Linked DNA regions of Callithrix jacchus. The protein of the gene in region 1 interacts with the protein of each later gene in a pairwise test. Links are inferred from orthologs where the notes say so. Each region holds a gene or a part of one and is shown in the gene's direction. Other genes may lie near its edges.

Region 1 (4,243 bases):
ATAATTAACAGACATTACTTTATGGATATGGACTTGGGAGGCACTGTGTCTACTTTCGGCTCCTTATGGTTTATTGCTTGATTGTGTTCATTTTGGACCCTTGTTACCTTCATTGTAAAATATTAACTTAAGTATTTACACTTGGTAACTTACCATAACTTACTGGGCGTAACTGTAACTTACCTTGTGATTTAACTTAAGTATTTACAATTGTTAAGTACTTACTGGGCGTAACTTACTTACCGTAACTTACTGGGCGTAACTGACTTACTGGGCTTAACTTACTTACTGGGCGTAACTTGCTTACTGTAACTTAAGTATGTTGATCTGGCGTAAACAACATTAACTTCAACAAAGTATATAATGGAACATATTGCAAAAATAAAATTGCTGCTTGGACATAGCCTAAGCCAGCCCTCCAGACTCCGCTTTTCTTTTTTCTTTCACTTCCGCGCACTCTCTCCCTCAGGTTGAACGAGACATCTACGTTGGCGGTCTCGGGGACTCCCGCAGGTCGGTAGCCCCCCGGCAGACGTGCCGGACGCCAACACACGTGGGAGCTAGGAAGTCCAAACCTGGTTAACCAAGCCCAGAGTTCATCGGGAAAGCACTGTGACAGAGCCAACGTCTTGTCTGAACAAAAGCAACCACCAATGAGTGCAAAAAGACCGCCTGGCGGAGATAGCGGGGACGGGAGGGGGAATTCAACCCTTCTCAACAACAAAAAGCAGCTTTCCTTAGCCCACTCCACTTTTCAGCTTCCTAATTGCCACCCATCCTGTGGGACGGCTCCCTGCCCAACGTAGAAAAAAAGAGGTCCAAAGGATATAGCATCACCTTTGTCCTCTAACCTAGGAGCGAAGACTCACCAGTTTCATAATGGACTTTTGGTGGTTCAATAGCAGTCACCGAACTCCTCAAACCCCGGAAGCGTCTTCCGGTGCAATCTCCGTCACCTGCCCGCCGAGAGCATCGCGGGACTTGCAGTCTTTCATCCTCACGTCTTTTCCAGGGGAATCATGGGAAATGTATTCTCCCAGGCATCATGGGAACTGTGGTCGCCTTTCCTTTTTCTCTCCTTCCTCTCGAACGCCTCCTTCCGTCAGCTCAAATTCATCCCCGCCGCCAATGCATCCTCCCTCTCCACCCCAGCATGATATCATGTCCCCCGTACAGGCCTGGGGCCCATGGTGTTCTGGGATGTGTAGTCCTGATGGCTCCGACCCCCCTTCCTCTCCTCCCAAAGAGCAGGCGGATGAGCGCGGAACTTGCCGGGAGTTGTAGTTCTCTATGGCCTCTAGGCTCCAGGCTCCCGGGTTTTACTCAGGGGAGGCAGGAACTACAACTCCCAGGAACGCACGGCGGCAGCAGGTGGGAGCGGGGCTGTTGATATCAATATGGCGGTTGTCAGCCAGACAAAGACAGTCAGTCTGATGTGATTGAGACAAGGAAGGTTTTCAGGGGGAGACTGGGAGATAGGGGCCTCCCCTCCCCCTTCTCCTCTTCCTGCGCCGGCCTCAACCCCTCCCCAGTCCCCTCCCGACGGGCGCCCCACGCGGAAGACACCCCTCCCCCTTCTGCTTTCCCTCCTCCCTACCTCAGCCTTCCGTACTGGGACGTTGGGGAGGGGGCTTTGCCGGGCGGAGAGAACTCAGCGAGGATTCTGAGGTGAGTCGAGCGGTTTGGAAGCCGGACTACCTCAAGTCTCTTTCTTCACTTCTTTCTCTTCACTTAAAACAATTTTTTTTTTAAAGGGGTTTTGGGGAGGAAGTGAGCGGACGCTGGGGATGGGTCTCGTAAGCGGCCGGATTGAGAGGAGGGAGGAAGCTGGGGGCTTCCGAGTGGATGACCCGGACGCGGGCTGTGGGGTGGGGCAGTTCGTGGGGGCCGGTCCTGGAAAGGCGTCGACTGCCCCCAAGTCTTTCCTCCTGGTTTCCTCCACTATGAGCGGAAGGTTTGAATCCTGGAGGTGGGGTCTCCGGTGTGGAGTTCGGGAAACTGTGAGGTGATTTGCAGGTGTGTTGGTTTGTTTGGGGTAAGTGTGTTTTAAACTGTGTGACGTGTACTTGTGTGCCCTCCTCGTCTTAGAGCTGTGTCTGTAGATGAGAAGTTAGACAGCGCGGACTCGCTCGCTCTGGGCCTGGGCTAAGGGGCGGGCGTGAGGTCCTGGTACTGGGCGTTTGGGCTGGCGACGTGGTGCGGGGCAGCCGGGCTCAGCAACTCGCTCGTGTCCCGTCGTCCGCTCACACTCCGCCACCCGCCTCCGCCCCCTCCCTGGACGAATCTCCACCCCAAACTCCAGCCACGAGAACTGTAGCGATGGTGTGATGTGGAGATGGATTTTTTGCATCCTCAAGTCGGTAGATAGGTGGGAAAGGAAAAGTGTTTCTTAATATTTTATTCCGGAACCGTGTTTTGGTTACACTATTGGGGCTACTTTGAAAGGCGTCCTCCACCCACCTTCACCCCGAAACAGTAGGTAGACGTGTCTTGTCTTCGTGTGAAATAGACGAATAATTGTTGAAGATTCGGGGGGCCTGGGGTGGGAGTCGAGAGTGCTGGGTTGTGTACGCGTCTGTGTTTGTCTACTAAAGGAACAGAATGTCTGTTGTGTATCTTGAGATAGGGCGACTCATTTTTGTAGTAGGAAGAACTGTTGGAAATTATTTGCGGGGCGGGGGGGTGTGCTGAAAGGCGCTGCTTGTATTTTTCTTCTACTCCACCCTGTTCTGTCATGCATTTGCCTGCAAGCTGGTGGAATGGAACAGTGAAGAAGCATTGGGTGAGTGAAGGGAAGAATGCAGTTGACATTAAAGATACCACTATGTAAAGTTGAATGGTATAAAGCCATTACTGTTTTTATTTACGCTGAAGCTTAAAAGAAAAACAAGAACACCCATGTATCATATAGGATAGAATGAAATGACTAGTTCATTTCTCTGGGATCCTGCAGGTGTAGAAGGCTTCCCTCTTCCTTCCTTCATTTTTTCCTTCCCTTTCCTTCCTTCCTTCCCTCCCTCCCTCCCTCCTTCCTTCCTTCCCTCCCTCCCTCCCTCCTTCCTTCCTTCCTTTCTTCCTTCATTTAGTCCTTCCTTTCTTTCTTGGCTTAGTACAACGTTTCTCTTTCTGATGAACATAATACCGCCTGTGCCTTTTTATTTCGTTTGCCAATGTGGTTGTGCTTTTTGTGGTTTTACCGTAAAATGCATCATTAAATGCATTTGTTATTTTGCATTTATGCCGCAGGTAATTAATCACATCAGGATTGCAGTGCTTTGCATTAAAACTTACTTTAAAATTGTACAACTAAGTTGCTTGATCTAGTTTAATTATGTTTCTAAGTCAAAGTTGGGAAATTTGAATTCTAAATTTTTTTCAAATTTCAATTAGAGTGAAAAAAAGTATTCTCGCATCTCTTATTTCTCACAGTTTTTAATAACATACTAGCAGAATATAAGATCACGTATTTTGTACTTCCTTATAAGTTCTTCAGTAACCCTTTTTATGTGACAGGTTTTTTAGTGTAATAGATTTTTAAAATAAAGAAATTGGCATCATTTTCTATTTAGACTGTTAAGAATTGAATATATTCCCCAAACTTACCAATTCTTGAATCTGCCACCTATCATTAGTAAGGGATCTTTAGATTTTATGGTAACTGAAAACCACATAAATAGACTGTGTATTTTATAACCATTGATTTGAATGTTTTGCTGTTGGTCATTCACACAGATAAGGGGGACTGTAAGAGTGGGAAACATGTATATTTCAATTCACCTGACTAGGAAAAAAAATGGTTTCTAAATCTCAGATGTAGAATATACCATATGTTGATTCAAAACTAAGCCTTTAGTTTGTGATAGACCAGGATTTTCAGAATCATTTGTTTTAAGCTTGTATCTTAACTTGAAACATTACTTTGCAAAAGCTGGAGAAAAATCCTATGTAACTACTTAACGGAGTGTTTTGTTTTATTTTTCTGAAACATTATAATAGTCACGAAATTAAAAAAAAATATTTAATATTTTAGAAATAAAAAACCAACATATTTGTTAATATTTGGAATTGGAAAAACATGAGTGTTTTCTATTCCACCTATCCTTACCTCAAAATTTCTTTTGTTTTGTCTATGGAAATGCAAAGTTATTTACTGGGAAAAGCATTCGTTAAACTTTTTTTCTGGCTACCAGCAGGATCACAATCATTACATGTAAGCCAAATATATTCCTAGCATTTGTTGTGG
Region 2 (4,213 bases), on another chromosome or scaffold:
ATGCCCTTTCCCTTTTTTTCTTTTTTTTCTTTTTTTACACAACCCAGCTGGTAAATTGGGGCTGCTTCTGTTATTATTCTACAAGTCCTTAAAGAGTTCTTAAATAGGCCGGCCGCGGTGGTTCACATCTGTAATCCCAGCACTTTGGGAGGCCGAGGCGGGCGGATCATCAGAGGTCAGGAGTTCAAAACCAGCCTGAGCAACATGGTGAAACTTCGCCTCTACTAAAAACACAAAAATTACCAGGTTGTGGGAGGCCGGAGTGGGTGGATCCCTTGACCCCAGCCAACTCGGTAAAACCGCCTCTACTAAAAATACAAAAATCAGCAGGGCGTGGTGGCGGGTGCTTGTAATCCCAGCTACTCAGAAGGCTGAGACACAAGAATTACTTGAACCCGAGAGGTGGAGACTGCAGTAAGCCGAGATCGCGCCACTGCACTCCAGCCTGGGTGACAGAACAAGACCCTGTCTCGGTGGGGCGCGGTGGCTCACGTCTATAATCCCAGCACTTTAGGAGGCCGAGGTGGGTGGATCACGAGGTCAAGCGATCGAGACCATCCTGGTCAACAAGGTGAAACCCTGTCTCTACTAAAAATACAAAAATTAGCTGGGCATGGTGGTGCGCGCCTGTAGTCCCAGCTACTCGGGAGGCTGAGGCAGGAGAATTGCTTGAACCCAGAAGGCAGAGGCTGGAGATCGTGCCATTGAACTCCAGTCTGGGTAACAGCGAAACTCTGCCTCAAAAAAAAAAAAACCCTGTCTCAAAATAATAATTACCTAGAAACTTAAATGCAAACACTTTCCAGCCAGGAATATATTTTAATAGGTAGTTTCCAACTACCAGTGGAAGAACCTGAAAGCCTAGAAGTGGAGTTTTGGGATTTCGGGCAGGCAATGTCTCAGGCACCTTGGGGGATTTTTTTTTTTTTTTTTTTTTTTTTGGTCACTGGATTAAATCAGCACCACCTGCCCTGTGTGACACCAAATACCGCACCACAGCTCACACTGGCCTCATCAACTGACCTAATCAGATACTATTACCAAGATTTTTACTCCATCTAACTCTACTTTTTCTGAGCTTTCAACAAGCCAAACGGCAACTCACTGGCGCCTCAGTTTCTTATTAATTATGCTGTTCTTGGCTTCTAACCAACCTAACACGTGGAACCTTTCATTAGAACCTTCCTCACCGCAGGGTCCGCCGGTCCTACCAGCAAAGCCCAAAAGAAGCAAAATTTCCCGCCAAAGGCGGTTTCCAATTTCTGCGACGTAGAGGACCCGAGGGCAGCCGAAGAGCAGGCGCAGAAACAGACGCAACTTCCTAGCTGTGGGCGCTCATAGGTCCTCCACCGTCCCACAATCCTCTCGTTACATATTTCCGGTTTATCTAGCCCAGCCGTAAGCGGTTTCGCTATCAGTCGAGCAGCTGTGTTCGTGAACGTAGGTGGAAGGGATCGCTTCTCTTCGTTGACGTTGTTGGTGTTCACTGTTTGGAATTAGTCAAGTTTCGGGAATCACCGTCGCTGCCATCAACATGTCGGTCCCAAGCGCTCTCATGAAGCAACCGCCCATTCAGTCTACGGCTGGGGCCGTCCCGGTTCGCAATGAGAAAGGTACGGTGCTGACAACCCTCTTCCCAGCCGAATTTTACTCTTTCGGCCCCAGCAACCTCCAGATCTCTCCCAGGTCTGGAGAGGTCTGTCTCTCCCAGACAGACCACTTCTATCCCGCCAGCTCTCAAGATTTGGCTCCCAAATTCTTCGACCTTTCCACCCCCACCCACTCGCATCCGATCTTCTTCCTGTGGCCTGCTCTCATATTCAGCAAGCACCCCTTAGCCTACACAAATTCCTTAGACTAATATGTACATTATATATATTACATATATAAAAGTACTTAATAGTTACTTAGGAATTTAACTATATATCAGAATATAGATGTCTAATATCCTGGAATATATGTATTAGTCTAATATTAGAATATAATATCACTACATATTACTAGAATATATGTATTAGTCTACTTAGGAACTTAAGTATATATATATTAATCTAATAATTAGGGACTTAAGTATATATCAGAATATAAATATATAATATCAGACTAGATAGATATGTAGGTAGGTAGATACATAGACAGAGAGAATGCCTATTTGCTGGGCATTGTGCGGGATATAGTCCCTCTTTTGCTGTCCATAGAAGACTGCTTATGCTGCCCAGATTGGACTCGACGTCCTGGACTCCGGCTGTCCTCCTGCCTCAGCCTCCCAGGTAGACACCACCGTGTCTAGCCTCAACATGGATTTTGGGAATTATCTTTGAATCCCTATAGATATTTATTCATCTGAACTGCTTATGAATTCCATTGTGTACACTGTAACCAGCCAGAGGCGGTGGCTCACGCCTGTAATCCCAGCACTTTGGGAGGCCAAGGCAGGTGGATCCCAAGGTCAAGAAATGGAGATTATCCTGGCCGACATGGTGAAACCCCGACTCTACTAAAAATACAGAAATTAGCTGGGCATGGTGGTGTGCACCTGTACAGTCCCAGCTACTTGGGACGCTGAGGCAGGAGAATTGCTTGGACCTGGGAGGCGGAGGTTGCAGTGAGCCGTGATCGCGCCACTTCACTCCAGCCTGGCAACAAAGCGAGACTCGGTCTCAAAAAAAATAAATTAATTAATTAAATAAACTGTAACCCACAGTTTATTCCCTCCTGAGGGGCAGGTAGTTGTCCCATTGCTGTTTTTTTCCCCCTGTTAAAAAAGTGCTGCGGCTGGGCACTGTGGCTCACACCTCTGAGGTGGCGGATCACCTGAGGCTAGGAGTTCCAGACCAGCCTAGCCAACGTGGCGAAACCCCATCTCTACTAAAATACAAAAAATTAGCAAGGCGTGGTGGCAGGCACCTGTAATCCAGCTACAAGTTCAAGTTCTGCAGTTGTTGTTCTTTAGCCAATTCAGCTTTAATACCTCTCCAAAGTGAGTTGTAAAAATGTAAGAATTTGGCCGGGCGTGGTGGCTCATGCCTGTAATCCCAGCACTTTGGGAGGCCAGGGTGGACGAATCATGAGGACAAGAGATCAAAACCATCCTGCTAACATGGTGAAACTCCCTTGAACCCGGGAGGCAGAGGTTGCAGTGAGCTGAGATCGCACCACTGCACTCCAGCCTGGCAACAGAGCAAGACTGTTTCAAAAAACAAAAACAAAAAAGAATATAAGAATTTGTGGAGCACATTGGCTCACACCTGTAATCCCTCACTTCAGCAAGCTGAGGCAGGAGGATCACTAGAGGCCAGGAGTTCAAGACCAGCTTGGGCAACATAGCAAGACTCTCATTTCTACAAAAAAATTTAAAATTAGCTGGATGTAGTGATGTGTTCCTGCTACTTTGGGGAAGCCAAAGCAGGAGAATCACTTAATGCCCGGAAGTTCAAAGCTGCAGTGAGCTATGATTGTGCCGTTATACTCCAGCCTGTGCAACACCTTGAGACCCTGTCTCTTCAAAACAAGGCCGGGCGCAGTGGCTCACGCCTGTAATCCCAGCACTTTGAGAGGCCGAGGCGGATGGATCACAAGGTCAAGAGATCGAGACCATCCTGGTCAACATGGTGAAACCCCGTCTCTACTAAAAAATACAAAAAAAATTAGCTGGGCATGGTCGCGTGTGCCTGTAATCCCAGCTACTCGGGAGTTTGAGGCAGGAGAATTGCCTGAACCCAGGAGGCGGAGGTTACGGTGAGCCGAGATCACGCCATTGCACTCCAGCCTGGGTAACAAAAGCAAAACTCTGTCTCAAAGGCTGGGTGTGGTGACTCGCAGCTGTAATCCAAGCACTTTGGGAGGATGAGGCGGAAGGATCACGAAGTCAGGAGTTCAAGAGTAGCCTGGCCAACATGGTGAAATCCCATCTCTGCTAAAAATACAAAAATTAGCTGGGTGTGGTGGCTAAACCTAGAGAGCGTATTAGACACATGAACAAGATGCCCAGCATCACTAGTAATCAGGGGAATGCAAATTAGAATAACAAGATGCCATTTCACACCTGTTCCACCTGTTAGATTGGGCAAAAATGTAAAAATCTGATACAACCAAGTGTGTAAATGATGAATATATGGGAAATAAAGCTCTGAGGTTCTCAAAGTTTTTTTGTTGTTTTTTTTTTACATGGAGTCTCACTCTGTGCAGAATTGCGATCTTAGCTCACTACAAC

Evidence for each region.
Region 2: the proteins of HMBOX1 (region 1) and MFAP1 interact in binary tests that used the Homo sapiens proteins (3 or more experiments, as listed by UniProt). The two-hybrid records come from large-scale screens. The link is inferred for Callithrix jacchus from reciprocal best matches to the Homo sapiens genes HMBOX1 and MFAP1.

What each region holds. Positions count from the first base shown.
Region 1 is NC_133514.1:12,806,010-12,810,252, reverse strand, and holds the start of HMBOX1 (homeobox-containing protein 1), read left to right. Parts: upstream 1-1,385; 5' UTR 1,386-1,668; exon of another isoform or gene 1,669-2,016; intron 2,017-2,440; exon of another isoform or gene 2,441-2,475; intron 2,476-4,243. Other genes in the region: INTS9 (integrator complex subunit 9), read right to left, coding at 870-878. UniProt on the Homo sapiens protein: Binds directly to 5'-TTAGGG-3' repeats in telomeric DNA. Associates with the telomerase complex at sites of active telomere processing and positively regulates telomere elongation.
Region 2 is NC_133509.1:31,484,475-31,488,687, reverse strand, and holds the start of MFAP1 (microfibrillar-associated protein 1), read left to right. Parts: upstream 1-1,398; 5' UTR 1,399-1,534; coding exon 1,535-1,613; intron 1,614-4,213. UniProt on the Homo sapiens protein: Involved in pre-mRNA splicing as a component of the spliceosome.